Linked DNA regions of Drosophila melanogaster. The protein of the gene in region 1 interacts with the protein of each later gene in a pairwise test. Each region holds a gene or a part of one and is shown on either strand. Other genes may lie near its edges. The genes, in order: Tk and CG13032.

Region 1 (16,160 bases):
ACATTATATATAAAAGGGAAATTGTACAAGATTTACAGAATGAATGCTATGCAACTGCCCAACGACTGACGACTATCCGCATCCAACAAGACGAATATTTATATATTATATATCCTATGATGTTCGCTAGTTGTTATTATTGGGACTGCCTCCTCCACTCCACGCAGTGAGGAATCCCGTCCAGCTGCGACTGCTACCATCTGCAGAAACTAAAAGCAATATCTTAATACAAGAAACCATACTAAAATTTAAATTTTTCTGCTAGTAGTTACCTTTCTGTCCCTTGGCCACACAGTTCAGCATTTCCATTTCGTTGCGACTCAGGCGGAGAATGGTATTTAGCACGGGAACCAAGCGCTGCCGCTCATCGACATTGTTTAACGTAAGGAACTGCAAGTTTATAAAGTAAATAGATTAAGCCCGTGGATATAGTTATTGCGTTCCTGATCTCACCTTTAAGAAGACGTTCTTCAAGTACTCGGAGTTGTGCATGTGTTGTTCACGTTCCTCGGAGCGCTCTTGGCGGCGCAATTCTTCCTTGAGCATGTCGTTCATTTGGGTCAGTTTAGCCAAATCCTGTTCGTTTTCGGCCAACAGGGCAGTCAAGTGCTTGACACGACTTTCCTGGATGCTTAGGCGTTCTTTTGTGGCCTGAAGCTGGGCACTTTGGACGGAAAAGTCTCCCCGTGCGGCCATTTCCGCTTCCTCGTCCTCCTGCTGCGAAACGCTGCGTCCGAAATTAGAGATGGTAGTCACGGTATCGCTGGTTATTTGGTTCATTGATGTGTTGAGCAGCTCGTCAAGCGGCATGAAGTCGTGGGAACGTCTCGAGGCAGTAGATATCTTTCGCTGAGCAGCCAGTTGGGCCAGAGAGACGTCTCCAGCGTGGCCATCCAAGCCTGTTTCGTGGTCCATAAGCAAGTAATCGATCTTTGCCTGCTCTGGACTGGTGTCCACGCTCGCGGCGGATGCAGTGGTATGCTGAGAGACGTTTGCTTGCATCTTTTGCGCTTCCTCCAGTTGCTCCTGCACCTGCGTTAATTGCAACTGGTGCCCGGCGTCCAGCTCATCAACTTGCTGGCGATGCTGCTGCATCAGGTCGTGTTGGAATTGCAACTGGCGTTGGTTTTCTAGCGACAGCAGGTCGTTTTGCTGACGCAGTTCGTCAACTAGAGAGACGAGCTCTTTGCTACGCTTTTGCAGATCAGTGTTATCCTGTCGCAATTCCTCTATTTGACTATCCAACTGGGCCAGGCGGGCAGCTCTTCCATCGTTGCTGGCGCGCAGATTGCGTTCACTCTCTCGAAGCGCAACCAACTCTTCTTCCAACTCCTGTTCGCGGTTGGAGCCCTTATTTTGGTTTTTGCGCAGCACAGACTGTGCCTTCAACTTGTATTCGGTGTACTCTACTCGCAGGTCCTCCAGAGCTCGTTCCGCATTTCGAAGCGCCGTCTCCAATCGCTTTTGCTCTGCCAGGTGCATTTCCAGCTCCTGGGTTTGGCTTAGTAGTTGTTGGGTGGCCGTGTTTAGCTTCGATTCGTATTGTTGGGCGCTCTCCGACAGCTGGAGACGCAATTGCTCCGCCTCGAGCTTGGCCTGTTCAACGCCATGTTCCAAATCCTTGTTCTGAGTGAGCGCCTGTTGCTTGCTGTGAACTGCGTCTTTGACCTGGACCTGCATGCGATCAATCTGCTCCTTAAGTTCTAGGGAGTGGGCCGCTTCGCCGTTTTTGGCCTCCTCTAGGATAGCGATCTCCTTGCGCAGCTGGACGATGGTGTTTTCCTTGCTGGCCAGTGATTCCTTAACGGCTTCTAGTTCGCTAGACTTAGCTGTCAGCTTCGCACTAACTTCGCTCAGGGATTTTTCAGCTGCTTCAATTTCCAAATTAAGGACACTGGAGTGCTTTACTTTCTCCTTGGACTTTAGCTTCTGGTTTTCAGCTCGAGCTGCATTTAAATCCTGTTGCAGTTGGGCCTGTGCCAACTTGATTGCCTCCAACTCCTCCTTTAGGGCACCGCTCTGTTCCATTTCATTCAGCTGCTGCGTCTGCTCCTGCAGTTTCTTTTTCAGCTTGGCAGCTATGGCTCTGAGCTTATGGTACTTCTCCTCGTAGCCTTCGTCCAGTTCACGCAGGCGGCTTAGTTCTTCGGCTCGTGATATTGTGGATGTCGACAGAACATCACTCTGGGCATCAGCATTCGCCTGCTCCAATTCCTCAACACGGCTCTGGAGTTGTTTGATCTTCTGTAACTTCTCCTGCGCCGCCTGCTGACTATTAGATAGTTGAGCCTCCAAGTCTCGTTGTCGCTTGACCTCCGCTTCGTGCTGTTCTTGAAGGCGTGAAATGGCATCACCGCGTCCTTTGAGCGCCTCGTTCAGTTCCCGCATCTCCGTTAGCAACTCTCCATGCTCTTGCTCCTTGAGGTGGTATCGCGTAAGCAAATCCTCGTTGTGTTGGCGCAGTTCTATGCAGATGGCTTCCAACTCCTGCAACTTCCTCTGCTGATTATCACGCTCCTTTGCAATGACTTTGACCAGATTTTGCATTTGATCAAGCTTGGTCTGGAATAAGCTTACATTAAGGTTCCTGGCGTGATTTTTGGTGTTTTCCTGCTCCTTCGTTACACTTATCAATTGTTCCTTGTCAATTCTATGCTGCTGCTTTATAATGACTGCAAGCTCTTCGAGAGCGGTTATCTTCTTAAGTAGGTACTCCACATTCAAATTGCTCCTTTGGTTCTTTTGCTTCTGCTTCACTATTTTGGCTAGCCGATCCATTTCCTGAACTCTTTGCAGCAAGCGCTTGCGGTCAATTCCAGTGTCAATTGTTTGAGGATTATTGTCTGACTTTCCATTGTTCAGCTTCAGTTTTTCATTCTCGGCCTGCAGGGATGCCATCTTTGCGCACAACAGTTGCGAAGCTTTGATAATCTCCACCTGCCATTTGGAAACGGATGCGGCGTACTCGTGCTGCGTTTCCAGCAGCACGCACTTGCACTCCTTGAGGTTCTTCAACTTGCGGTGTACATCAATGAAGCGGTCCTTTAGAGAATTAAACTTCTTGCGTTGCTCAGAGTTAAGTTCCTTGATGTTTTGGTACTTTTGCTGCAGCACACTCGACTCTTCTTCCATCGTGGCGACTTGCTGGCGAAGACTAGCGTTTTCCGCCTCCGCTTCCTTAATTTTGGCAATGTCCACTTCCAAAAGTTCCAGATTCTTGCGCTGCTCGTTACCCAGAGCATTGACCTGTTGCATAGCCTTTTCCATGCGATCCACATTGGCAAGGAGGGCATCGTTTTCATCACTCAGTCGCCCAAGTTGGCGCTTTAGGCTCTCGTTCTCGATCTCGAATTGCGTCAGTCGATCGGCATCCTCTTTGGTCTTTCGTTTCAGATTATTCACTTCCTCGGTGAGGATGAGGTTCTTATCGGTGAAGTCCTGGACCATTTCCTGCATGGCTGGCAGGCTGCTCTGCTTCTCCGCCGCCCGTTTAAGGGCATCCTTGAGTCGGTGATTTTCCTCGGTGAGTTCTGAAAGAGAGTGGCTTGCATTATTCTGGAAGATTCCCTGAAACTCTCCATCAAACTTACCATCTTTTGCCTGTTTCGCCTTTTTAGCGATGTTGAGCAGGCCTTTGTATTTGCTGATGATTTCATCTTTGCTCAGCGCCTCGATCGGATTCGGGTTCTTCTGCAAATGCAAATAACAAGATGAGACGTCATCATCAATTCTAGCGACACCTTTTTACTCACCTGGGTTTCCCTCGGTGATGCGGCTTCCATGTTACTTGCTATTTTCGTATCCTTGCATTTAATAGCGGTCCAAACATTTATGTCTTAACTCAGATCAGTGGTTTTCCAATTAGCAAGCGACCCAGATTACTCGAAAATGTTTTTGGACCCTTAATCAATCCGAGCGAAGAAAACACTCCAGCCACACTAACAGCTGATAGGGCTGTCATCACCGCCCAATTAGTGATGAGCGTCTTTTTTTAAGAAGGTGACGCAAAAACGGAAAAATTACTAATTAAAATTAAATGAAAGAATAATATTGTCTTAAAAATATGTGCTTTTTAAGGATTTAATTATCACTGTTGCATAAAAAGGGCTCAACTTTTTAATAAGTATTATGAAATTACATTTTGGTCCAAGAACGTTACCTTTAAAATTAAACAATATGATTCAATAAATTTGTTTCACTACTATTGGTGTTGTTCAACTATCGAAGGAACCTCAACTATCGATTAATGTGACCGCTCACCACTGACCACCACTAGCTCTGCAGTACAAGCAACATTTGGCATCTCTACTGTTTATCATTTTCTTGATCCGTTAAAGTGATGGATTTGAGTGATAATAGCCAAGTGGAGGATCAATACTTTGTTTACAAGCATGATAAGCTATTCGGCGAGAGTTTCCCCCTGTTCAAGGAAATCCGCAGGATGGGCAAGCTGTGCGATGTCACCCTAAAGGTTGTTTGCGTGCAGACTGGGGCATTCAATCACCCGCAGCTCAGAGATACGTTCATTATCTAGCGTCTAAATATAAAATGCCATCCCAATTATTGCAGGTTGAAGATCAGACCTTCTCAGCGCACCGCGTTGTGCTGGCGGCCACCATCCCGTATTTCTATGCGATGTTCACCAACAACATGGCAGAGAGTCGGATCAAGGAGATCACCATGAAGGAGAGCGCCATAGAGCCAAGTGCCCTGGAGAGTCTGATCAACTATGTTTACAGCGGCCAAGTGCGCATCGACAACCAGAATGTGCAGAACCTGATGGTGGGCGCCAGCTTCCTGCAATTGTCCAACGTGCGGGATGCCTGTGCCAGTTTCCTGATCTCCCGCTTTCATCCGCACAATGTCCTGGGAATCCGCACCTTCGCCGACTCCATGATCTGCCGGCAGCTAATCGACGCTGCCGACAAGTATATTGATCAAAACTTTGCCAAAGTCTCGCAGTCGGAGGAGTTTCTCGCCCTGGACTGCGAACAATTGCTGGAGCTGATGCGCCGGGACGAACTCAACGTACGCACCGAGGAGGTCATCTTCGAGGCCTGCATGAAGTGGGTCAAGTACGCAGAAGACAAGCGCTCTGAGCTCTTTCCTCAGGTCCTGGCTGCAGTGCGTTTGCCATTGCTCTCGCCTCAGTTCCTGGCGGACCGTGTGGCCCGCGAGGAACTCATTCGATCCTCGCACCAATGCCGTGATCTCCTAGACGAGGCCAAGGACTTTCACCTCATGCCCGAGCGCAGGGGTCTGCTGCAGAGCTTTCGCACGCGCCAGAGATCCGGTGAGTTCTTTACCGGACAAATATACGCCGTGGGAGGACTGGCCAGCACTGGGGAATCTGTGAGCACGGTCGAGATTTACGATCCGCTCACCAAAAAATGGAAAATGGGCGAACAAATGTCCATGATGAGGTGAGTGTGCGAGGAGCATTTATTTCTATTCTATCCCATACTAATTGCCAATTTTTCGACAGATCTCGCGTGGGTGTGGCCGTTCTGAATGGCAAGCTGTACGCCTTTGGTGGATTCAATGGCACCGAACGTCTGTCCACCGTTGAGGTCTACGACCCGCGCAAAAACAAGTGGTCCCAGGGCTGTGCCATGCTCTGCAAACGCAGCGCCGTGGGCGTGGCCGCATTGGATGATTGTATCTATGTGTGCGGCGGCTACGACGGCGTCACGTCGCTCAACACCGTTGAAGTTTACTATCCAAAGTCTAACACTTGGAAGACTGTAAGTAAACAAACATTCTATGTAACCCAGATGGGTAAGAAAACTGATCCAACTTTAATTTCACTACCCGAAGGTTGCTCAAATGATGAAATATCGTTCGGCTGGTGGAGTTACCCAATTGAACGGCTACGTCTACGCCCTTGGCGGTCATGATGGGTTGTCCATATTCGATTCGGTGGAGCGGTACGACCAGGCCGAAGATGTCTGGGTTAAGATGTCGCCCATGCTGAATCGTCGCTGTAGACTGGGCGTGGCCACGCTGAACGGAAAGATATACGTGTGCGGCGGCTACTGCGGCAACTCATTCCTTCGATCCGTAGAGTGCTACGACCCTCAGACGGACACCTGGAAGCTGGTGACACCAATGAATTGCAAACGCTCGCGGGTGGCTCTGGCCGCCAACATGGGCAAACTGTGGGCCATCGGCGGCTATGATGGCGAGTCAAATTTGTCTACAGTCGAGGTGTACGATCCGGAGACCGACAAATGGACCTTTATGCCGCCCATGTGCGCACACAGTGGTGGTGTCGGAGCCGGGGTCATACGGATCGAGTAACCCACTCGATTCGCCTGCCAAACCCGTTTCTCTAGCCACACTCGTCTTAGGTAATTTATGTGAATTGAATCGATATAGTTTAGCCTAGATATGATTGTTGAGGGTAACCAAGCTTTAGTGGCACCTCGTGCGGCCGCCTCGTATGCAACTCAGCTCAGCTCTTGCAGCTCTATCAAAATTGTTCATATACTACTCACAGCTCTATAGATTTTGTCATTCCAGTTATGTAATTGTTTAGTTACTACGCCTAGCCTTAAATACTCATTACAATATTAATCCTCCAAATAAAAACATGTATAACGCATGTTATGTAAAAATTTATTAATGGTTGGTTTATTTTTGTAAGACGGGTAAAATAGTCCTATGTATAACTAAAATCAATTTCACACCAATTTAAATCATATTTTATTTAATTTAATTTAAATTGAACTAGACTCTTAACATTAAAGTTATCTAAAGACGTATTCTTTGTATTCATTTTCAGTCATTACCCTCGCCATTTGTAATCTTGAAATGTTTTAGAAGGTTGTTAAAGTTCAGTAATTTCCTTACAGTAAAGGGACGACTGTCAACCTTTTGCACATCGTATAAATCAATTGTGTTTCGACGATCCATATGGGCGGCGGATACGTTTTATTTGAACAATAATAAATGGTTGACAAATAACAAAGCAATCTGAGCGACAAAAAGGCGAAAATGGCGAGGGCAGCGCAAAAAGTTGATGGTCAATAAGCAGGCCTTTATGGAAGGCAGTGCACTTGTTTATTGTCCCTAAAATACTTTCAGTTTTAATTAAAAATGATTAAATATTATTACCCAAGTCCCAATGTCTATCTACAATTTTCTACTTATTTTGTAACGAATAAATGTACCTTCCCTCGTTGCATCTCAGTTGAACATGCGGAGTATCTCTTCCCTTGATATTTGTACACCTCCCACGCGCGGAATGCAATTTTAAATTCGATTTGCACCACCTGCTCAAAGTGCAGCGGCAGCAAAACTAATTCGGAGCAACAGGTGGCAATGGCGCATCCAAAAATAGAGGCTAACGAAACCAAACCAAAACAAAATCAATTTGCCGTCTATCACTGACCCATAAAATGCCATACGCACAGCAAAGGGTCATAATCCAATCAATTGCACACTTAACGTACATATTTCGCAGTTATCAGATGGTTCCAGCGATGGAGGACCTTATCGCCGATCCGGATACGATCCGGTCCTGTTCCCGATTGCCAATGGCTACATGTATATTTATGTGGCTCTGCAGCGGCACGGCTATTTGCACAAGCGAAAAGGCTTTGTGGCGGCGGTCTTATTTGATTTTGATAATCAAATCACAAATTGCTTGTCTATCGATGGGCAATTTTATTTTAATTAAATGCTAATTATGTTTACCAAATGGTTGGAGTAAATATTTGTTGCATCACCGGGGACAATTGTTTATCACCACCAAACTGGAGCTCGTTTAGTTGGAAATCCGTCTAATTGTTTGGAGGGTGAGGAATTGGCTTTTTTTTTGCCCCGAAATCTGTTGCAATTTAAATGCAAATTTTTCAGCGGGCTCTCTATACACTGTAACATTTACGACTCAATTGCCCGAAAAGGCGGAAGGCAGTCCTGCAAGAAAGGATGCGAAGATAAGATGCCTGCAGGAAGCGGCGATGCTTCCACGTTTAATTTTAGACCGAAAAACTGGCGTTGTAGTGGCTGCAAGTTGCAACGAGCTGGCCCCCGGATGTGTGTGGCATCCACTTGGCCTTTCCGAGTGGCGTGTGGAGGGATTCGCCTGCTGCGGGTGATGCGGGTGATGCGGGTGATCCGGGTGTTGTCTTATCTCAAATGCCGCGACCTCGCCTCAAGTGCATTGTTGATGGTCGCGACCCGTTGAAATCTGGCTGCAACGACTTTTCCGGCTCGTTTTGTGACGCATTTGAGACGAACCCGCTTGGCCGCTTTAAATTTGATTTATTTCAAAATGATTGAAATACGGCTCAAAAGTCAAAATGAGACTCCAGGTATGGAATGCATCTTATAGTTGCATCGAATCGAATCGATTCCGTAATAATTTTGATGTATTTAAAATGTAAAATATTCATGGCTAATATATTGAATGCAATCATAAATACTGCAATATATACATAAAAAAGCACAACATTCTTTTATAACCAACTATTTCCAAAGAACGTAGTCTATTTTCATTGCATATCTCGTTTGTAGCCAATAAATGTTTCGAACACCCAACACACTTTTTGAAAGGTCAATGTTTTGTTTGCTTTATATGCGTCATATGGGAACAATTTTAATTACAAATTTTTTGGACAAACAGCCCGGGAAAAATCAACAAAGTGCATAATTTTTATTTGTCCATCTCGCAGGCATATGGTAAATCATAAATATTAAAATAAACCAAAAACAGCAACGAGTACGGGACTACATACGTAATATAAAACGAAATTAATATTTCCTTATACGCGAAACTTTCCCATTTGGCCAGTTTGGATGCTGTTGCTCCCATTCTCATTTCACTTTTCGTATCTTTTGCTCCTTTTGTGCCTATGCCTTTTTCGCATTTTGCCTACTTTTTGCATATGTTTTATTCACATATGCAAACAGAATTTCCGTTCAATTCAATTGCTCCGGCGAGGAGGCAATTTTTTATTCCACGCTGAAGTGGCGGCCGCATAAAAGAGCACACACACCGCATCGCCACACTCGCACACTCACACACTCACACCTCGTATCGTTTCAGATTCTATTCGACCAATTGTTGATATCCACGAGCACACACACACACCCTCACACCCACACAAACACACACATACACACACAAGCCGAGGCAGCTCGTGTTCCGCTGAACTTCGTGTCCTGCCGGTCGGGCTTCCTGTTTCGTTTCGGCCTTATCCTTCTGCCGCTTTTATAAAGGTCCGTTGTCGCTTCGATCTGTCGCTCAGTTGTTGCATACTTCTCGGCGCGTTCGGTACGCGAGCATTTGGACAAACAGTTAGATAGAACTGAAAGTGAAAGATATTTCCCAAGCGAATTGGCTTTACTTGTAAGTGAACTTCAGCATGAACACTTTATTAACTCGGTGGAGTTTTTTGCTTAATATTTAACATGATATCTGCTCAAATATTTCGAGCAGTGATTATTTCTTCTGAACAAAACAATCATCAAATAGATAGAAACTTTGCAATTGTTAGTGATTTTTGGCGCGATCAAAGATAACTTGTATCTTTAAATATAAAGTAGGTTCGAAGCTACCAACTATGGTATTTTTAAAAGTAGTTTTCAGAAATTCTATTTAAGAAAAGCTTTTCAAAGAAATGATGGCTTTAAAACAAATTGCCTTTGTCATAATAATGCATTTGTCAAAAATTAGCTAAAAAAAACACAACACATTCAAACTTTTATGCTTCGGCATGTTAAGAGTAATGTTTGAGATTTGTTATCAGATTTTATATCCCATTTGATCTCTGGGGTCTGCTTAATATAATCAACAAGTTTTTATGACAGCACATTTGTTCAGTCTGACCATAAAACTTCTTGGGTGGCATTCAGCCAATTTAAAGGAGAGAAAACAAGACGTTTTCACTTAATGCTGACAAATTTCGCACATTAAGACTGCAGTCTATAGAGTTTTTAATGGAATATTAGAAACTAAAAAACACTCGCAATAATGTGTTAATTGGTCTGATTAACTGACAAGATCCTTCTAACGTTTGCGTGATATAAAAAAAAAGTTGACCAAGTTCTTAAGGACTTTCGCAGTCAAGTTCATTTTGTTTTTACATATTTGGGTCCGGCGGAAGCTGAAACATTGTTTATGGAGGATGGCCATCATCAATTGACAGCCAGCGGGCAGAGCTAATAAAAAGCAACATCAATGCAGGGCATCAGATTCCGGGATTGGGATGGCGATGGCACACATCCGGTGGCAGCACGCAACGCCATCCCATTAGGGAAGCACTCTCCCAAAAAGCCACTGGACTGGCTGGGTGGCCACGGGTGACATGAGGCGGCGCTTTAAAACTGCCCCTGGGTCTTAACTTGTTTTATGTCAACTTGGACAACGAGAACAGAGCAATTACAGCATGTGTAGCCAGCAAAAAAAAACACAAATACTTGAGCTGCAGCTGCGCCTAAAAGAAAGATCCTTTAAAACGTAAGCCACTGCATGTGAATGTGTATGTGTGCGAGTCAGGACTAATTAACTGTAGCTGCCTCACTCATTACGGCAACAAGAGATGGTCAAGTAGGGAGTGATTCTCCGGCCCGGGAGCACTCCGTGAAATGTCAACGTAGAGGTACACAGGTACACAATTTGGGTAAATATTTTATTACAGTTCGAGGACAGTTTGGGAGACCTGAAGGGCAATGAAACTATTAGTTCGTTAATTTAGCATAAATATTAATAGGGAAAATAATACAGAATGCGAAAAAATAACCAGCACTATTTAGAACATCTGTGCATAAGAAAGTTTAAAAATCCTAACAACTTGACACGCCTAAGTTTCTATGAACAAAATATATTTTGGGTCAGTTCATTGGAAAACTTCATCCAAAAATATCGCAAAATTCCACGACATGTACACATTTCAAAAACAACAGCGGTAATCTAACATGTTCTTAAAAAACACCGAATGCCAGCGGAAAAGAATGGAGTGGGATTGTCATAGAAAACTTTTGGGAACCTAAAAAATCAACGAACCAAGACGCGACTCATTTTCCGACTCGCCTTTGACTTACTTTGACTCATCATCAGAGCGTTTCTGTGGATTTCAATTTCAATCATTAGGGATTAATTTGGCCCAGGCACAAAGGTCACACATGGCAGGCCTGTAAATCCATCCCCGCATGCCACAACAGCTTTAATGAGTCTTTTACAAAAGGGATAACGAGGCAGACAGGACGCGTCCGTCTCGGAGTTGCTTTAATGTCTTGCAAAGAACTTAAACCGCATAAATTTACATTTAGATCTACATATACGGATGATGATGCATGATTTATGGCTACAGCGATGGATGCAAGTCGCAATGGTCCTTAGGCCGACGACTAAACGGTCCTCGCGTTCAGAATGGGGGTATCTCGGAAGTGCAGCTCCTGTGAGGCGGGTGTCTGCTGATACTCCACCACCACCAGTCGATTTGAGCCCGCCTTGAGCACGGCGGCCGGAACATACAGGGTGACTTGAGGTCCCACCAGGGGCCAATACCTGCCGAGATTTTCGCCATTCACAAAGACAATGCCCTTGCCCCAGCCGGACATGTCCAGATAGGTGTCCGCCAGATCAGATTCCTTTTGGATGTCCAGTTGACCGTGGTAAATGGCGGGACCAGTGCGCAGCATTGTGCGCAACTTCTTTAGCTCCTGGAAGCCCTGACGAACTGCCTCATCCGACTGGGTAATCAGCTGCTCCAGGTTGTCGTACGATTCGAGTGGGAATTGGGTCATGTTCCAGTTGCTCAGCACCTGCTTGTCCAGTCGAACATCCCGCAGGATGCCCTTAAAATCGTTCAACTGTCGACCGTAGTTGATGCGACCCTGGTTCTCTACGATAATCTGGAACCTCCGCCCGGCACTTGCACTGAGTGGCAATTCGAACACGGGGGTTTCCCTGGCCAGAATACCCACGAACTCACCATCCACATAAACGTAACCTCGATCCGCCAGTCCGGGAACGCTAAGGATGCTCGGATCCCGCTGGAAGCTGGGCAACCAGGTCTCGTAGAGCACCAAACCAGAGTACTGTCCCAAAGCCTCGAAGCTCTTCGGCTTGGCGGACTGCACAAATCCAGTGGAGAGACGAGATCGAGCCTCCGACGAAAGCAGACTACAGCAGGTGGTCAGACGCACAGTTCCGTAGGATCGCTTGGGTACGGGTCCGGGCACGGGTTGATTTGGCAGCGGGAGATAGCGGCCAATGATGCGTCGCAGGGCCTGGTATTTGGGAGTGGGATCCCCCGCCTCCGTCATGGGTGCATCGTAGTCGTAGCTGGTAATGTCAGCCATGTAGTTTCCGGGTCCAATGTCATTGGCACCAGCTGTGAATCCGAAGTTGGTGCCGCCGTAGAACATGTAGAAGTTCACACTGGCACCATGATCCAGCATGTTTCTGGAAGCCAAGGCAAGGTTATATATACGATATTATATATAAATATATATTAATTCTTTAAATAACACATAATAATCAATGCCCAAACCAAATTGGAAACTTACATAAAAGTGGAAGTAATCGATTGGGTGCTAACATTGGCCATCGGCTCCGTCCAGTGAGTTAGCCAACCGGGATAGTATTCCGCATTGACCAGCGGACCCTTTGGCTGGTACCTTCTAAACTTGGCCCAAATGGGCTTGAGATCGTTCGTTGCTCCAAAGTCCATGGTCGCTAGGACGCCCTGGATTTTTCCACAGCGCAGCACACTGGGTCCATCGTTGGTGAAGAGCACCGCCTGACCTTTGACATGACTCTCGGTCTCATCGCGTAGCCAATTCCGATAGTTGAGATCGCAGGCATAGAAGGAGCCATATTCGTTCTCCACCTGAACCATTATAATTGGCCCACCATTGCCATACAGATATTTATTCATTTTGGCAAACAGTTGGGTATACCAAATGCGAATTTCGCTAAGATAATCTGCCACATTTTTGGAATTAAGCAGTAAAACATAAGTAATCTTAAAAGTTAACAAAAGGAGTATCAATACTTACTGACATCTGCTGTCCGGAGCTGAATGCCCGGATACTTATTCAGCAGCCAGTAGGGAAAGCCGCCCATGTCACGCTCCGCACAAATATACGGACCCGGACGGAGGATGACCAGCAGATCCTCGCCCACGGCCAGGCGTATAAAGTGTTCCAGATCGGCAATGCCGCTCCACACATAAACGCCATCCCGCGGATTGTGCAATGACCACTCCACATAGCTTGTAGTTAATGGAAACATGACAATCGAACCATTAAAATCATAGTAGTGACTCACGTTGTCACCGCATTCAGACCCGCAGCTCTCATGGTCCTAAGATGCCTTTGCCAGGTGGCTGGATGAGCACGGAAGTAGTGGAAGGAGCCGGCAATGAATCGGAATGGTTCTCCATCCTTTAGGAACTGATCCTTTTCGTAGTCCACCACAAAAGTGCGATTCGCTGAAACAGCTCCTAGCAGCGGTAGTAGGGCCACCAGGACCACCACACTGAACTTCATTCTAAAGGATTGCAGTAGGAAAGATAATATATCAATTAAGATACTGGGAAAAAAATTTCATTATATTTATCATTAAAGCGATATAGATAATAATTCACATCTATTTACTTTGATTACTCTTACACACTAGCTTCGTTAGTACAAAAAAGTAATCATTTTATTCCTGATAAAAAGCGCTGCCAAAGCTATACAGTAATTGTAACTGTAAAAGTAATTGAAAGTAACAAAAAGATACGCAGCAAAATGATTAAATATGATTTATGTACGCCACCATACATAAATGTTTTATGCCATTTAAAGAAAGCGTATTGTGTGCATTCTTTAATAGATTCTCGAATAACTCAACAAATTCCTTTAAGTATTCTGTTTTCTCTGGCCAACGTTTATCTTCCGGATAGTCTGAAGACCCAGTCCGTTCCGCTTCCTAGTGAATCAATCTAAATCAGCCCAGTTGAGTTCATCGCAGTGCAAAGCGTGTCTCGTTTCAGTTGAAATGTTTCAATTGAAGTTCACGGCTCAATTGCTTAGTGACAACAAAACGATAAAATCTTTTGTTTGTTTTGCTTATGAATTGTTTGAAATTAATTCCATTTACTCAAACCGCCCCTGAACTTCTTGGCTGGAGCTCTGTTTGGTCTGCTGTTGCATTCCCTTCGGGTCTCATTAATTAATGCAAGCTCAGCCTAAGTCAATTATTTAATCTGGCTTCTTCGCGCAGAGTAGTGTTTCATATACAATTTGTTTTTTTTTTTTTTTCATTTCCACAGCAGCTGTTCCACAATAATAATGAATTGTTATTTCTGTATTCGGACACTCTGTTATGAATTCATTCTTATCGGCACCATTTGTTTGCTCTTCACTTTCTTCATTTTATGCGATTTGACAAACGAATGCTACGTGTGTTTGTGTTCTATTTTAATTTTTTATTCCCGATGTGGATTATTTTGATTACGCTAAACTATGAAATGTTGTTTCAGCATCATTATGCTTATTAAAAATCATTTTTGTGATTCATTATCCTCTGATGCTTGTCCGTCAACAGTTTATAAATGTTTGCTGCTTGGAAAGTTTTTTATAAATTCATATTACGATTCATTTAGGCATTTTAAAGTGCTATAATTGACTAATTTCGTCAGGAGGTTATTTTATTTAATGTTTGCCCCAATGAACTCAAAATTGCTCTACATCTAATGGATATAACATTTCCATTACTTTAGGAAATCTTCATTGCTTGGCTAAGACAAATACTCAATGTAATTAAGTCATGCCTTATTGACATGAAATAAACATTTTAATTGAATTAAGTTGAATATTAAATATACACAAATGCTTACATCCGACGGTGATTTACACGCTGTGATTCCGTATCTCTTATCACTGAATGGAATGACTCTTAAACCGATAAGGCAAGTGCTCCCCGCTAACCAAATGATCTCTAAATTAACCTGTAATAAATACACCTCCATCAAAAAACTTCCCGTATATGGGTGCCTAAGCTACGAAATTCGAATATATACAGTAGGTACCCAAGGGAAAATCGGAACGAGAACGCAACGTAAATTTTAGGCATCTGACCTAAATAGATTATTTTGCATGCCAGTTACCACCGACTTTACAAAGCTGGATTCCCACTGCGTGTTCCGCTTAACTTTACTGGCAATTAGACGAGAAAGTTGGCGATCGTCGCTTTTTTCTTTCGAAATAAGTCCAGCTTTTGTTTCGAAAAAAAAAGCCATCCAAACGATCTCCAATTATTCATATGACACTTACCTCGCCGATTGCAGCTACACGCAGTGAAAGAAGTGTTTGACTTTTTAGTGTTGATTTAGAGCACAGACGATATAAAAACACAGAATACGATCGCGATGGTTGCAATTACTAGGTGGAAAGTGCGCCAACTGTTCCGCTTGAAATCCAAATTCAAACTGATCGTGCGGTGACCAGAAACCGCGATTAAGTGCAGAACAGAACGAAGACGCGGCTGGCAACATGAGGCCAGCGCAATTGCAGCGCAGCGGCAACATTGTTGAGCAACATTTGTGCTAAACTATGGAACAAAGAAATAACTAAAGAAGTAGAAGCTTATGTATACAATATTTTAATGAATTCATAATGAATCAGAAACAACACAATTAGAGGTGCATTATTGGTCAAAACTGAAGCGTTAGTTTTCTTATTAACCACCACATTATTATTTCTATAGATTTAACCGACTTATAGCCAAAAAATAAGTGTTCTTATGAAACAAACCATTTGTTTAAGCCCTTTTAGACGGGCGTTACATCAAATAATCCTTGACTTTTAACCTACTACTATTGATGCTATCCCTTTTTGCATCCATTGTTTGCTGTTCAATATTCCGTGCCTCTAGAGCATGTCGAAGTCGTTTTCCTAAAAAATTAATGTAAATTTATTTAAAATCCACACGCATGCCGGTGGAAATTCGAAATTGGGCTGCAGCTGCTGGTAGAAAAGAAAAGGAGTCGATTTCAAATTATGGTCACGCCTCATTTTTTATGCATTAAGTGTGTGTATTTGCTTTGGCCTGAACTCTGGCCTCCTTTTCGCATGCAAAATAGGGTGACATGGAAATGCAGCCGCGGGCAATTGGCCGAAAAGTGAGTTTTTCATGTTGTTTTATTATTAATTTCATACAT
Region 2 (15,645 bases), on another chromosome or scaffold:
GTGATACCGGGTACTGATCCTCCTTGTGGGTCATAACCGCCGCTGGTTTCGCCGGCTGTTGGCGCAAACACCGCAAAAGTCTGCATTGGGGGAAAAGAAGAGAAAGCAAATTTGCTTAGCACATTGTTTGGCGACTTCTAAGGAAAAAAAACACGCCGATCAAAGGCATTGCTATATATAGAGATTCTAAATATTTACATACACCCCAAAGACCGTCACCCAGCCAGACCTGATGTACATATGTATGTTTAATTAAAAGCACACAGAAGCCGGAGACAGCGGAAGATACGGGTACGTGGTCTATTTCAACTACTACGGAAAATACGCAATAGATAAAACCGCATTGAACCCCCAAAGGGAATGGGAGATGTGGGGGGGGGGGGATTCTGTCTGGCTGGAAACCGAATCTTACGTGTTCAAGCGATTATTGGCAGTAATTAAAAAGAGTAGTACAAACTTTAATTAGGTGCAGAGTACGGTGCGTGTTTAATGTTAGTTCGTCAAATACAATAAGCTAAAATGCTACTAAGCAAAGTTATTTGCCAATTCATGCCGACGATATAGAAATTGTTCACTTGGGGTCTATATCACAGTGTAAATACTTAAGATCATTACTGAGTCACAACCAATATCGCAAGACATAAAATTGCAATTATCGTCTTATAGTATGGGAATAATAAATATTTAAGAGCGAGTCGAATGCACTTCAAGTGCATCTGGCATTCCTACAAATGACTTTAAATGACCAGGATGTTGAATACTTAGAGACACGATCACTACTCGACATTACAAGTGCTATTGCACCAAGTTCATGATGTTTCCAGATCGTAAAAAGTGGCAAGCATTTCGCCAATTCAATCTGAAGTTGCCAAGTTTGAACTCAAAGTCGGAGCAGTTAAAAGAGTTATCAATGAATTTGGGTTATTGGGACTTTGATTGGATCACGTTTAGATATCGCCAGACATCACTCCGCATTCCAGACAATCAAATTAACTGACTAATTGAACTAATTGGAACTGTGGAAAAATTCAATTCCCCCAATGGACGCACTTTGCTCCAGCTGGACGTAAAGTATATCTGCTTTATATACCACCATCGAGTCATGTGAAAATCATTCACTTCGAGAGATCGACCCAAGGGGGGAATCGGGAAATGGGGCTGGGCGCCTGCAATTTTATGGCCGGCAATTCTAATTGGGCGATTGCCAAAACCTGCTCAAGACCATTGGCTCTGGCTGATTTTCGATTTTTCAGCCTTATCAATTGGCGCCCGCCACTCCAGATACGAAACGCTTCGTTATCGAACCTTGAGAGCGCATTGGGCATATTGCCTTCTCATTTTCCAGTAAGTATGATGAAACGCTTTAGCTGGCTAATTTAAATGATGTCTTCTTCGCGGTGGTAAACCATAACCTAGCCACCAAGTTTACGATCCTCGTATAACAGTTAATCATGAATATTTCCCGCAATTTCGGTGGCAATCGAATGAGGAACGAATTGGGGAACTTTTGATGAGTGTGTCTATCTTTATGCCGCCGTCGGTAATTTCTTACTTGATTTTAACGGGCCCTATAAACTGGGCCGAAGTATTTATGACAGCTTACAACAAAGGAATGGAACCCAACCAATGTCCATTGACCTCCTTACAAAAACGAGCGGATAGCAACAGAAAACTATATCGCATTTCGGCTGATTGGTAAAAAAAAAACAAATAACATTACTCGGCCTGACAGCTGCCAAATGGAACGTGTGGCTAATCTTAACAAACGGTCATAAAATTGTATAATTTATTCACAGATAATTTTTTTGTAATTAACTCAGCTTACGTGGGAGTTATGAGAAGCGCAGAGAAGGGATTGCATCAGCCTTAGGGTGACAATATGACTAAAATTTCGAATTAAACTGGAAAATCTATGTATATATTTCTTTCATCATATATGAACAATGTGAGCCGTTCTTGCTGTATTATTGTGATATATCTAATTGGAATAGCCCTTGAAAGGTCAATCAATTTGTGGTCCTTTGCCATAAAGTTAATTTGCATTATCTAGCCGACGTGCAGTCTGATTTGGGTTGCCCAAATAAGTGTGTGATTAGCACAGCCAAATATAGAATGGAAAAATATTGGATATTCCGCAATGATATCATTCGCCCACTGATACGAATTATATGAGAAAACCTGTATATACCCAAAATTCACTTCCCACATTTCTTATCAAGCTGCTGCATAAAGGTTCCAATTTCGGGGCAAAAAACTGTGATTTTCGTGGCCATTCGAATTTCAGGTGGAAGTGTCGGCAGATAGGAGACATATTGTTAATCATTTATACCAAGACCCAATTTCGTAGGAACTACAAAACCAAAACCCACCTTAATTTCATGGTTCTGAATGTTGTACCAATTGTGGCCGATCGATTATGCCTTGGTTAAGTGGAAACTTCTGACGTCTTGTTTATACACTTGCTGCTAGCTCTGTTCACTGGCACACACACACACACAATTTGTTATTAAATACTTTGGATTCCACTGAGTTTCTGTTTTCTTTGGCCGGGAATGTGTTTATCGAGCACTTGAGTTCTTGTCACTGCTATAATAATATCCATTTGTCTGTATCACTGAACTTTCAGCTCTTGCCTGTGATTCAGGGTTCCCTGTTGTTTTTTTTTTCCTGCCGGAATACGTCTAACACCGTTTTATGATCACACAGCACTGAAAGTACCAGCGAATGGGTTGAATTCTTAAATATCAGTTCGTTTCCATTCAATTCCCAGATAAGGTCCCCCAAAAAGAGAAAGAGCGAAAGAAAGAGCGGGCAAGAGAGAGAGAGAGAGCTCCATCGAGTGGGCGGATGGGTGGTGGTGTTGGCTTTGGGGACGAACGGGAGAATCATAGCCACGAATCGTTTGTTAATTGCTTGTACGGGTGTTCAAAGTAAGAATGTACAATATCAGTGATAAGATATCAGGCCGAGGGTAGCTCACAGCATATAGAACAATGTCCGGTGTGGAAGAGAGTTATTTAACCGGAGAGTTATAGTTAACGGTTTCACTCAGCTCTTAAGCGCACCAAATTGTCAAATCATCGATTTAATCGTAAGAGTATCTGAATTTGCCAGAATTCATTTACAACACTACAAGCACAGCGAGAAATAGTTTGAGTTGTGTTTCAAGAATTAGTAATCATGATCTACGCTAAAGTGCTCTGATAAATATCAAATTTACCAATTTGTTTATGCTAACTAGATTTCTGGGAATGTAAGATATAAGCAACTAATCTTTTTCCCGTTTATATAGATTTCGGGTAATAACCAACTATGAAAAACGTCAATACTTTGAAAAACCCATATCGACAACCCTCTATATTAGAAATATTTCTACTCCAAATTGAGCACAAGCCTTACAGTTTTGGAATGCCACTTGTCCCTCTTCAGCACCAACAGAAATTACACTTGATCGCAGGGGAGGATTACGGGGGTAGACCGTTTGTTTGCATACTGGAAGAAGAATTGTTTTGCAACTATCTGCACTCGAAAACAGGGCACTCGAAAGAACATGTAATTAAAATACAGGGCCCCCAGTAACACAATTCAAACGGGTAGCACAACAACCCATACCAGTCCAGCTCAATTCAACTGGTCCGATCAGAACTCAGGCCTTATCGCGATAATGGAAGATAACTGGCCAGCCAGCCCGAGAGGATTTGACCCACTGTCAGGGATCGTAAATTAACGGTTCGCCATCGGGCTTCGATCGGGCACTCATGGTTCACGGAGGTTCACTGCGATCTGGGTTCTCGATGCGTTGAACCCATTGACCGATATGGAGGACCGAGGTGGATCTGACCTGTGGGATTCCTTGGGGGGGTGCTTCTTGAGTTGCTGGGCAGCACTTTGCTAAACCCCACTCCACTGCCAAGGTCGCCGGCTGCTCGAGCCATCCACTTATCGGACAGTCGATGTGCTCTGATTCCATACCATCCCACACTATACATATATGGTGTCTTAATTGTCTGTTTGCAAGTCGTCTGGGAGCTGAGAAAGAGTCACGCTTCGAGATAGAGACATTTGGGCATGGCCCTGCAATAACCGCGAAATTTGTGCGAAAAGCGAAAATTTTCCTACCCATTGAAGGCCATAAAGTCGATTTTATGGAACGGGCCCCCTCATTCGATATTAGCTTCACTTACTGGGTAATGCGGGCATGATAAAAAGTAAGGAAAACCAAAGCAGTCGCCTTCACTTCGCCGTAATTCGTTCAGTTTCAATTAGTTGGCACGTGAAGAGTTACTACTAATGAATTTTGCGGAATGGAATTTAAACTATTTTGTTTACCACAGGCGAGATTGAAATTCAGCGAATTAATGGCAATCGTTCAAAATATATATGTACACACCCGAAAAACAAGTCGCCAATCATTTCCCAGTATCAGTCGTGATTCGATTCGATTCGATTCAACCTCTCCAGATGTTGTGGGTTTCCGTTTCAGTAGACAAGAATCCGAAGTCAGGCGCACAAATCGTATGACTGACTGAATGCCAAATAGTCCTCTCCCGAAAATACCAGCGCGTTGGCATTATATAAATCTGATGGGGCTGGCGATCGGGATCGTAAATCTTAATCCGATTGGAACCCATTTTTTGGAACGGTGGCGCTAATCATGTGGAACCTCTTTCTGTGCCCAAGTAATCTCAATCTTCCCCCTGATAGTGCAGGAGTATACTTGAGAACCCGATATTGGGTATAAATTAATGGGGTAACTGTACTTTAAGGTGGCATGGGGATGTACTTTGCTTTAAATGATCTAATACCTAAATATGTTAGAAGTTAAAGTATTTCCAGAAAAAAACGATTCAACTTTTTCCATCTTTTATTCACGACACCTAATCTATATATCATTCCGAACGTATTTCAAAAAGAAATATAGGTGTTATATTAGCTGAGTAGAAGAACCCATGAGATCCTATCTGTGATTCGAGCAGCCCCTGTCATCACCCAACCACGTAAGCAGCTAATTCCGGGGACGTTGCGCCTTTGCCAGAATTCCTGAACGTGATCCCGGGCAATCCATCCATCAAGTGCGGTACCGATACCACAGCTCCTACGGCTGATAGATATGTACATATAGCTGTGTACTTTACTTACCTCCCCAACTGACTCCCCCCACTTGGGTGTTATTTGTCTAATTCGACAACACAGAAGGCAGATAAACGCGAGGCGCTTAATTTTGCAATTGTTATTGTTTTGGCTGCAATGTTGACAAGCATTTGATTAAGGAACGATGGGTAAACGGGGGTGGATGTGGATGTGGGTGGATGGATATATCAGTGGGAGCGGAGCACGTCTGCGGTTCATGGGTGGTGTACGTTGGATGATGGACGAGCAGCAGGTTGAAGTTGAATGATAGCATGTTGGCCATGCGATCGAGAGGTGGGAAAACAAGTGAATCACAATTGCTAGCTGTTTGTTTTTTATTGTTTGGTTAGATATTAAACGGAGTTACGGAATAAGGCAATTTAGAGAGATGATATGTAAGTCCCCCAATTGAACAAGTCTTCGTTAATTGCCCTCTTTTCCTGCAACGCAGAACTTCATTTCATAACTAAAGCTTTTAATAGCCCCATGCGATGGCGAAGAGGTAATCCATTTGGTTGTAATGGCCATAAATCAAACAAATATGAGTTTAAGTGCCAATGCCCTTACATTGAGTTTGCCAGAAAACAAAGCTGTTGAAAGCCGTTTGGAACTGCTTCTTCAAATAGAACTTTTTTATGCGCCCCCCTACTATAAAGATGTTGAGATTATCGGTGCTTAATCGCTTAATAATTAGCACTGCCTCGTAAAGAGACTTTAATACCCTAGCACTCCCAGTTTTAGGTGCCACTTCAGGCCAAGTTGCTTGGACACCAGCTGGTCACGTGGGTTTACGACATACTTTATCCTCGTATCTGGAGACAAGTGGTTTCGATTTACCCCATCTGCATATGATTGGTGATTGCGCTGTCAGTTGCAACATAATGCCTGCCTGCATTATCTTATTGTAATACTGACCGATCTGCGTTGCGTTGAATGGGTCAGTTCTGGCATTATATGGCTACTTGCGCTACTTCATCGATTAAGCAAAATAAGAATTATTGTGGACTTCAGTAACACCATAAAGTTCTGCGATAAGCCATAGCAGCTCGATAGCAACGAACCTGGGAATACTCTTTAATACATTCAGTATTAGTCTGGAAAGTCTTCAAAGCTTTTATTAGATTTGCCTAAATACAGTCCTTGTTTATTCAGGTGATTTCCCTTATCTAAGAACTCGATTGCATACCACGCACAAAAGATTTATAGTGGCGCAAACGGAACTTGGCAGCTCCAATCGCCCGTCGGTGCCTTTGGCTACTCTATGACACACCGAGTTAGTAGTTTAATGCTAAATTAAAACATGCAGTGCTCTCCAGTTAAATGTATGTATTATTATATGCTTTACAACTAGGCGAAAACAAGTGGGCGCTAAAAGAAGAATCGAATGTATTGCGACAACGCGGCACGGAAGTGGCTTCCTCTCTTCCGCCACCCCATTTCACATCACTTCAGAATGGACCATTTGAGTTGTTCACGTGCCGATTGCAGAACCTAAAAGATAGATAGCACACACATATATAGATACAGATACTCGGCAATAATTTCGATCAATTAGCTAATGAAACAAATCAAAATGAGCGCGAAGTTCCAGAACATTTTCACCAATTTTATTTTGAACATTCTCGGAGTACAATGAATGGGGCGATATGGGGAAAAGTAATCGAAATTCGGTAACATGTACAAAAGGTAAAAAGAAATTTACGCCGACACAACTACTTTAAATTGTAATAAGTAATATTATCTGGAAGCATTCATTAAAATAGGTACAATTTTACAACATTTAAACACTTTTGTTGAAACTGAAAATAGATCGTAATTAAACAAAAATGCGAATAACAAATAAATCTAGGCAAATGTGTAAAGCTTGTAAACTTATATTAACTCAGTTACTAACTACATATAGTCTTGAAAAACAAAGAGCCTAATTATTTGTTCATAGGGCGGGTAAAACTAAATGAGAATATATTTGACTGCAGGGTATCAAATTGCGAAACGAAACCAGACAAAATTAAAGTACAAACGGCTACCATTGAGTTATAAACACTTAGAAGAGCTACCAAGTAGTTAGACTACCAAAATAGACCATTAAGGGTGTTAGTTACCTGGGCAACGGTCTGTTCGGCAATGGGAATGTCATCGTTGCGCAGATCAACGCGTTTCACCACCGACGAGGGATCCGCATCCAGAATAATGCTATTTGGAAAACGGGTAAAGGTTTAAATAGAATATTTGTATTTAATAATATGTAATGCATAATATACAGTGATGAATGGCAAAGTATATCTTTTTGTACCTCAGGTGATTTCTAAAGCTCAGCCTATAAACTTAAAAACTTATACGAGCTGCATGCCTAGGATGCCAGTGCTCGTATGTATTAGTTTAATCTTTAAGTTTAATATATTTTAATATTTAGTTTGATTTATATAATTAAACTTTTGTACCTATACCCTAACATCGCAGTTATCATATAACTTTTCATTGGACTTGACTAGGTTTTGTTAAAAAAAAGGAAGCTTTAAATGCGGTTAACTACTTAGAGGCTTCACTTGAGCTGGCCTAACTCATAGACTAGTAAATAACAATGTTATTTATGGGAACTTGTGTAGTAATAATTTGATGTTTTCTAAACGAACTGCTGCTAATGAAAGCTGCTTTAACTTGGTCCCTTGTTCTTTCCATCCATCACTGTATACGCTAATACACACCCTCCGTCGCAGATCTCGTCAAATGCCAGCATGATGATCTCCAGGTTTTCCAGCACCAGGCGCTTCTCAACGTTCTTCTTGAGGATCAGGCTAATGGAATCGTAGAGGCAGTTGAGCACGGACAGCAGGATGAGCTCGTTCTCGTAGGCGTTGCCCATCACGTAGAAGAAGAGGTCCACGTTGCTCTTGTACACGCAGGTGAGTCCGTCCAGCATAATGATCTCCGTGTTGGAGCGGTGCGTCTTATTGAACAGATTCTTTTCGAAGGCCTTCTGCTCCTTCAACGTGGACAGGATGTTCTTGTCGTAGTACTTGGCCAGGATGCGGTTGCCATCGTTGTCCATGATGCACATGCCCTTGATGATATCCTGCAGCACATGTTGGGTTTGATTTTAAGCCAGTTACTTGTGTATTTTGCAATTTACCATCATAAATCCGTCCATCTTCACTTGTTTTCGTGTCTTACACGTCACTTTAGTATGACCATATTGCGACCGCTAAATTATACCAACTAAACAGTACTGCCAACTCGAGTCACAAAATAAATAGCTAGATACAGTTAAAACTATCTAGAAAAACTGTTAAAATTTTTGAATTTTAGCTAAGCCGTTATCGTTGTTTTATTATTATATTTTAAATTATAATTTGAAACACATGGGGGGCTGGCTTGCTTGACGTTGGCCGTACTTTGCTGGGGTATTTAAAATAAAATAATGTAAATGTAAAAAAAGAATAACGGTTTAAATGTAAATTATCCTGTCTTAAATAAAACAACAGTTTGGAAAGATCAAGAAAAGAATTGTCAATGTCAATTTTATTATTGCAGAAACTCTGTTTATTTTTAACTTACCTATTATTGAAGAAATCCTGATTATGACAAGAGTTCCAAATTTAAAAATTGCCTTGCCTTTGATTTGTCTGTTTCAAATGAGGTTTAAATTTGAATAACCTAGAAACAACTGATGACAACCAAAATTTGTGAATATTTTAGTAACAAGAACAGGCACACGTACAAATTATTTTCGCCCAGCCAACGAAATTGTTAGATTCAATTGTGTATATTTTTATGTGAACAACTAGAGGGCATTGCGATGGAGACTTTGCCGGAAGAGTATGTAGCCCATCGGGATCAGGAGCTGTTGGGGTGCAAAGTGGGCCGTTCCTCTCGACGTCGGCATGACCATGATGCCATGGCCGCTGCCCATGTGGTGCTGACCACCGCTGTGGTAAAACCAAAGCCAACAAAGCCGGAGTCCAAAAAGCTGCGCAAAAAGCTATCCGAATGCGAGCAGGAGAAGCAGTCACTGGCCCAGGCCATTCATGAGAAGAATCAGGAGATATCCGACCTGAAGAAATCGGTTGATTCGCTCAACGAGGTGCTCAACTCCGTGCCCATTGATGAGCTGCGCTGCAACTCCTCCATTGCCAGCACCAAAATCCTGGAACTGAGCAAGAAGAACCGCCAGATGCGTTCCGAATTGGAGCAGGCAAAGAGTCGGCTGGGTAAAAAGGATGCTCAGATCGAGAAGCTGGAGAAGGAGCTGCGTGCGCACGAGGAGAAGCTGCAGCATAATCAGGATCTGCCAAAAAAGGGCTGCTCCCCCGATGAGCTCCAAGCCAAGATCAACAGTATGCAGCAGAAGCTCTTCGAAACGCGAAACAGGAACACCGAGCTACAAAGCCAACTGAAACTGGCCCAAAAGTGCCTGCAGCACGAGATCGGTGAGAGCTGCAACATCAACATCCTGGCCAACAATCTTAATCAGGCCAATTGGCGCGGTCGTGCTCAGCAGATCATCGCGCTCAACCAGAAAGTGCACGAGCTCAAGGCTCGCTTGGATTTCTACGAGGACCGAGCCGTAGATCGAGCCGAATATGCTGCCCCAGTGCCGTTGGGTTCGGATCTGGAGTTGGTAACCGGCAGCTGTCGATCACATCATGCCAGCTCTGAGAGATTAGGTGGAGGCGATGGCGGCGGAGCCACAACGGCCAGCTTCGATCGCTTTACACCGGGTGTGCGTAAAAGTGAGATTCTTCATCGAGCCAAGGTGGAGGCTCTGGAAAAGGAGATTCTTAGCCTGCAAAACCAACTGGAGGATCAACGCAGCAAGACACTCGCCCTAAAGGTGAGGAACAAGAATCTGAACGAGGAGATGAACAAGTACAAGATTCTATACAATGAGCTGGAGGAGCAGACCGACTTCAATGGCACCAATATCAATACCATGAATGACAAACTGAACCAGCAGAGGATTCAGTACGAGAACCGTTTGGACGACATGCGCGGCGAGCTGGTCCGGGTGACCGAGGAGCGAGATCTTTCGCGCCGGCAAATGGAAGAGCTGAGCGGTATGCATCTGGAGCTGCAGACGGTGGTCAAGCAGAAGGATGTGGCCATGGCCAGTCTGCAGGATATGATCAAGAAGCTGGAAATGGACCTGCGCGCCCTATCCGGCGGATTCCTCTTCTCCTGCCGCGAGTTTCGAAAGGTAAAACTCTGTACACTAAAACATAAGCTATTAATTTGCTTAATTATATTCCGCAGGAGGAATTTGTGGGCATCCTGGATGCTCTAGAGGTGGAGAAAAATCAGCTTATGTTGCTCACCAAAACTCTAGGAGATCGTCTGGAGACGGAGAGAGCCAAGAACGAAGCAGCTCAGGAGCAGATTGGCAAGTTAAAGGCCCGTATCAGCCGACTGGAGGTCAAGATCAGGGACCTGGAGAAGGAACTCGATGTGCAGTCCGATAAGAAGAAACGCACCCAGCGAATGGCCGACTACGCCAGTTCGCTGAGTCGCACTTCTCTTAACGGATCGATTGGTTCCTTCTGCTTCGAAAATCAGTCCCAGTACCAGTCCACAAATACGCTGAATTCGGCAGGACAGCCTGAGCCCAGAATAGAGGATCTAAAGAATAAGTAAGTTCGGACACGGCAATCCCATCGCTTAATCAACTATAACTACTTATATTTTCAGTCTTGAACTGGCCAAGGAAAAAATCACAATGCTGACAGAGAAGCTGGAGTATATCACCGAGGAGAAGAACGCAGATGCCAAATTTTTCGAGGACACCATCAACAGTACGAAGACCATTATCCTTGAAACTGTACTTGGAGCTCGCGAAAAGGGATTGAGCGATCGTAGCAAAAATGCAGATAAAAGCACGAGCGAGACTTCCATTCAATAATGAAGATGAACAAAACCACGATTTTTATTTTGATTAGTTTTTATGTTCTTTGCAATGCTAAAAAAACTGGACGAGAAGTCATGCCATATACATATTTATATGTAACTGGAATGTTATTAAACTTGCATGGCATTGCAATGCACATCATTGATTCTGAAGTACCGAAAACAATGAGTTTTAAATTTTCATAAATTTTTATTTGATTTGTAACACGTTCACAAAACGAAGCCTTTGGCGCTGCTTCTATTTCAGGATAAGATTAGATTAATTCAAGTATTTGTTAGGTGATTTCTTTCCACTCGAAGCATTTCCAATTGCATTATGCCTATATAATTGTTATTAATTGCTGTCTATAGCTATGCATGTGTGTGTGTGTGTGTGTGTGTGAGTGTCTTGTAAGTTAAGTTAATAATACATTATATATAGCTTGACTTGCCATAGAAAAACGATCCTGCAATCACATATTAAATTAGTTTTAGTTGCCGTTTGTAAATTGCTTCATTATTTGCGTTAGAAATTCGTTCTCCATTGCTCGCGTATGGTATGAAAATGTATAAGTTACAGTATAAGTATATTTTTTTTTATTGATTCTTTAATGCATTATTATTGATAAGCCTAGTAAATTGGTTTTATCTAAAAAACACGTTTTAGCAAATTAAAGGCACTTTCAAGGATTTCTTTTGTGAAACGAAACGATATCTCCACCTTATTCTCTTTCTTCAATTTAACACTAGAAACAAACAATATATAATTATTATTCTCTTAACAAAAATATTTATATATTAAAAACATGAATTTCCCCCGCAAAAACAAGAACAATATCCTTCAAGTCCTCCTCGTTTACACAGATAAATTGACAAAATTGTAGGGATAAGGACGCGATCAGAATCCGAGTGGATTGCTGCTAATGCGAAAAGCTTTCAGAAAGCCGAAGAAAACTCGGGGGAAATTTGTGTTAGCGCTATTGCCCCGTGTAAGTATTACTTTGAGAACTTCTAATTAAATTAGAAAACCTTTGCCTTGGGATTTTGCTATCCACAACATGTTATGCTGAAGCACTTTAGCTAATCGAATTGTTTATAGATATCCGTACTTGTATATGATTGGTAAGCTATAGTGTACGATTAGTTGGTTAACGTTTTGTATATTCTTCAATAAATATCTGTATAAATTTGATTTATTAAGGGCTGTAGATAAATGCAAACTTGGCTGGGTTAGCTTGGTCGCTCAATTTCTTATTGGAATCGGTGCAGATATATGTTCCGCTGACATATATTAGCCGATTCATAGCTGAAACACATTCGACTCTCTGGCTGATTTCTCATAACTCTGCTGTGGCTTTGTTTATTTAATAAGATGGATATCGGATTGTTGGTTCTTGGTTGGATTACTAATAAATTTAAAATTAATTAATTAATTTCCCTCTTCTCTTTTTACATAATCCGCTGCTTTGCTATATATAGTATATATATATATATATATATATCTATGTATGTAGTGGATGCAGTATAAGTTAATGCACTAAAAATTTAAATTTTGGGCTGTTGGTTGGGGCGTGTGACTCCTCCACATCATCGCCGTCGCCGCCTGAATACATGATTAAAATAGTAGTAAATGTCCTGCTCGGCTTGCTGCTGCGGCGTCTTTTTGGCCAACTCCTGCTGCTGCTTGGAATCCACTTGCGGATGGTAGTTGCTGTAGTGGTTGTAGCCATGCATGTCGTACGGATTGTGGTGACCCGGATGCATGCCTGCTGGCGGAGGGATTCCTCCACCTCCGCCGTGCCGACCGTTCCTCATCATTAGATTCGCGTGCATGTTGCGATCCGCGATAAAAACGTTGACGAAGAAGGCGAGCACGAGCAGGATGTAGAGCAGGCAGACGAGGATCACCACAAACTGCTGGCGGCAGCAGCAGTAGTAGAACATTCCCTATTATATAACCGCCTGCTCCACGTAGTTGGCGGGCAGCATGCCGGTCTTGCCGGTACGCTCCACACGTCCGGTCATCCAGCCGGAATCGATTGACTCCACCTCAAAGATGACGTCGCCCTCGCGGAAGCTGACCTCGTCGACGTCCTGCGCCTCATAGTCATAGATGGCCCGATAGACGCGCTAAAATATGGGACATATAGTTAAAAATAACTTTGTAATAAACAATAGACAGCCAACAAAACTTACCATTGCTGTGCTCTGGCGCGATTGTTTTTCCTGCAGGGAGGAGTAGGATGGCTGCTGGCGCATCTGCTGTTGCTGCGGCGGGTGCTCCTGCTGCTGCATCATCTGTACCTGCTGGTAGTACTGCTGGTGCTTCTGCTGCTGGTGAGCCTGCTCGGCGGCGGTGAGCGATCCGTAGATGCCATTGGCCGGATCAATATCGGAAACCGAACCAATCCGCTTGGGGTAAACGCTGTTGCCTGTGAGGACATAAAAGTTCTGGACATTAGTTCTGTTTAGGCTACATATCTACTAGCCGGGGACAAGGACAAGATGAGTGTGTAACATCGAGCTGAGCGCGCACTATCACTACCTCGAACTACCAGCTAGCCTGCTCCGTAACTTACCACCTTGATTGCCACGTGGCTCGGAGCTGTAGACCAAAGTGGTGCTGGACCGTCCGGCATTGGGCACCACCCTTGGTCCATCCGTCAGTGGATCGTAGTCCGCTATCTTCCCGATATTGCTGCCGCCTGCCACGTGCTGTTGCTGCTGGTTCGGCATATGGCCATTGCTGGCGTGCTGCTTAACGTTTATTGAATTCTCAGATGGAGTCACAGCGGCGTAATTGGGAGACGCGTATAATTGCTGCAGGTGATTTTGGGCAGCTCCTGGGCCGGCTGCCACTTGTTGCTTGCTATTGCCATCGTAGGCGACGACACTGGCCGCCGAGCGTCTCATTTGTGGCGGCAACATTTGGTTCTGTGAGCCGTGTCCATTATTATTGATGTTGCTGTGGTGGCTGTGCGAAATGCCGCCGTTGCTGGCATTGTTGTTCAGTAGGCTATGATGGGATTGCTGCTGTTGGGCAGCCACCAGCGTGGGGTTGGTGCTCTGCTGTTGCGGCTGATGTTGCTGCTGCTGTGGCTGGTCGTACTGATCCACGGAATTGCCGCTGGGATGATGCGAGTTCTGGAGTATGGCCGAGCGCATCTCGTTGTAGCTGTTGAGCGCCTGCTGCTGCGGATTCGCCGGCGACTGTGGTGGCGGCATCTGTTGCTGCTGGGATGTTGCTGTGGGATACAGATGTGAGGCTTGTTTAATGGCTTGCTGTTGCAGCAACTGTTGTTGCTGCTGTTGTTGTTGTTGCTGTTGCTGGCGCAGCGCCTGCGGTTGTTGGTAGTGTGCATAGGGATCGTGCAGTTGCTGCTGCTGTGCCCGCTGTTGCTGTTGCTGTTGCTGTTGCTGTTGAAGTTGTTGGTATGTGGGCGTTATGGCCGCTGTGTTGTATTGCTGGTGTTGTATGGGTGGCGGTGGCAGAGTCTGTTGCTGCTGTTGCAGATAGTGTTGGTGTTGGTGTTGCTGCTGCTGCAGTTGCTGCTGATGTTGCTGGTACTGCTGCTGCTGTTGGTGTTGCAGCTGTTGTTGTTGCTGGTGTAGTGTTGTCGCTGCTGGCGGTATGGGTGAGGCTGTGGGTGCATATTGCGAGAATTGTTCAGCTGCCAATTGCTCTGAGAAGTATTCCGATTCATCTTTTCGATTTTTTCGATATTTATCGATTTCGAGGTGACGATTAATTAGTTGCACCATTGTCCACAGTCGTTGTTGTTAGTGTGGATGTGTGTGTGGTGTTCGTTTTGTGTGTAACGTTAGGTTAACGGTAGTTCAGAAAGCACACAAATAATGTTGTTGATTTTATTGTTGCAGTTGGTTGTTGATGGTGTGGGATAAATGGCAACAAATGATAAACAAAGTCCACAACAAAATAAAAGGAGAGAAAACAAACCATAAAAAAAACGGCATTATAATCAATATTAATTACACAATGTGACAGATGTGATGGAAATAGATACAACATAGTTAGATGGACAGTGCAGAAGTTCAAATTCAGACACACATGCCACATGCATGTCCACAAAGTAAAAGTACAGTGGATACAAAATAAGGTAAATTAAATAAAATAATAGAAAGGAAAGAAAGAAAAAGGAATTTATACTAAAATTCCGTATTTTTTTTTTTGAGGGGTGGTAATTTTGAGTGACATTCAATGTATATTTAAATGTTTAATTCAATTAACAAACAAATCAATAACAATCGCTACACAAGTTCTTTGTAAGCTGGCTTTGTAATTTTGTCGTGACCATTTGAATGCATGCATGAGTGAATGACGTCAATAGACTATTATAAACACATTAAGTCAATTGAAATTCGAATAAATTAATTCAAAAACAGTAAGCCCGGCCCACCACCAACTGACCGTTATTAAGAGAACTAGCGGTTGCAAGCAATAAAGCTTCGTTACCAGTGATGATGAGTAGGAAAGATACAATAGTTACAGTCCTCTCACAGAGATGGAAATAGTGATAGATACAGATGGAGGGGTATAGGGAGAAGGTCGGTCGAGTACTCACTGCTGCTGTCGGAGACCTCGGCGGATCCTCGCTGCTTCTCCATGGCCGCCTTCTT

What was found.
Region 2: the proteins of Tk (region 1) and CG13032 interact in a two-hybrid assay, tested with the Drosophila melanogaster proteins (one large-scale study listed by BioGRID).

The regions. Positions count from the first base shown.
Region 1 is NT_033777.3:11,998,553-12,014,712, reverse strand, and holds the start of Tk (tachykinin), read left to right. Parts: upstream 1-9,239; 5' UTR 9,240-9,355; intron 9,356-11,196; exon of another isoform or gene 11,197-11,355; coding exon of another isoform or gene 11,356-12,415; intron 12,416-12,519; coding exon of another isoform or gene 12,520-12,937; intron 12,938-13,011; coding exon of another isoform or gene 13,012-13,226; intron 13,227-13,282; coding exon of another isoform or gene 13,283-13,503; exon of another isoform or gene 13,504-13,504; intron 13,505-15,273; exon of another isoform or gene 15,274-15,435; intron 15,436-16,160. Other genes in the region: GCC185 (GRIP and coiled-coil domain containing 185 kDa), read right to left, coding at 127-209, 273-390, 454-3,530, 3,591-3,690, 3,753-3,782; KLHL18 (kelch like family member 18), read left to right, coding at 4,340-4,471, 4,570-5,423, 5,486-5,744, 5,818-6,300; Ect3 (Ectoderm-expressed 3), read right to left, coding at 11,356-12,415, 12,520-12,937, 13,012-13,226, 13,283-13,503. UniProt on the Drosophila melanogaster protein: Tachykinins are active peptides which excite neurons, evoke behavioral responses, are potent vasodilators and secretagogues, and contract (directly or indirectly) many smooth muscles. Stimulates gut muscle contractions.
Region 2 is NT_037436.4:16,665,222-16,680,866, forward strand, and holds CG13032 (uncharacterized protein), read left to right. Parts: upstream 1-8,742; 5' UTR 8,743-8,926; coding exon 8,927-10,324; intron 10,325-10,380; coding exon 10,381-10,754; intron 10,755-10,812; coding exon 10,813-11,023; 3' UTR 11,024-11,043; downstream 11,044-15,645. Other genes in the region: Galphaf (G protein alpha subunit f), read right to left, coding at 1-80, 2,370-2,380; zetaCOP (coat protein (coatomer) zeta), read right to left, coding at 6,574-6,621, 7,233-7,323, 7,836-8,203, 8,261-8,278; CG43954 (uncharacterized protein), read right to left, coding at 12,595-12,951; lasp, read right to left, coding at 12,958-13,137, 13,204-13,439, 13,587-14,711, 15,591-15,645.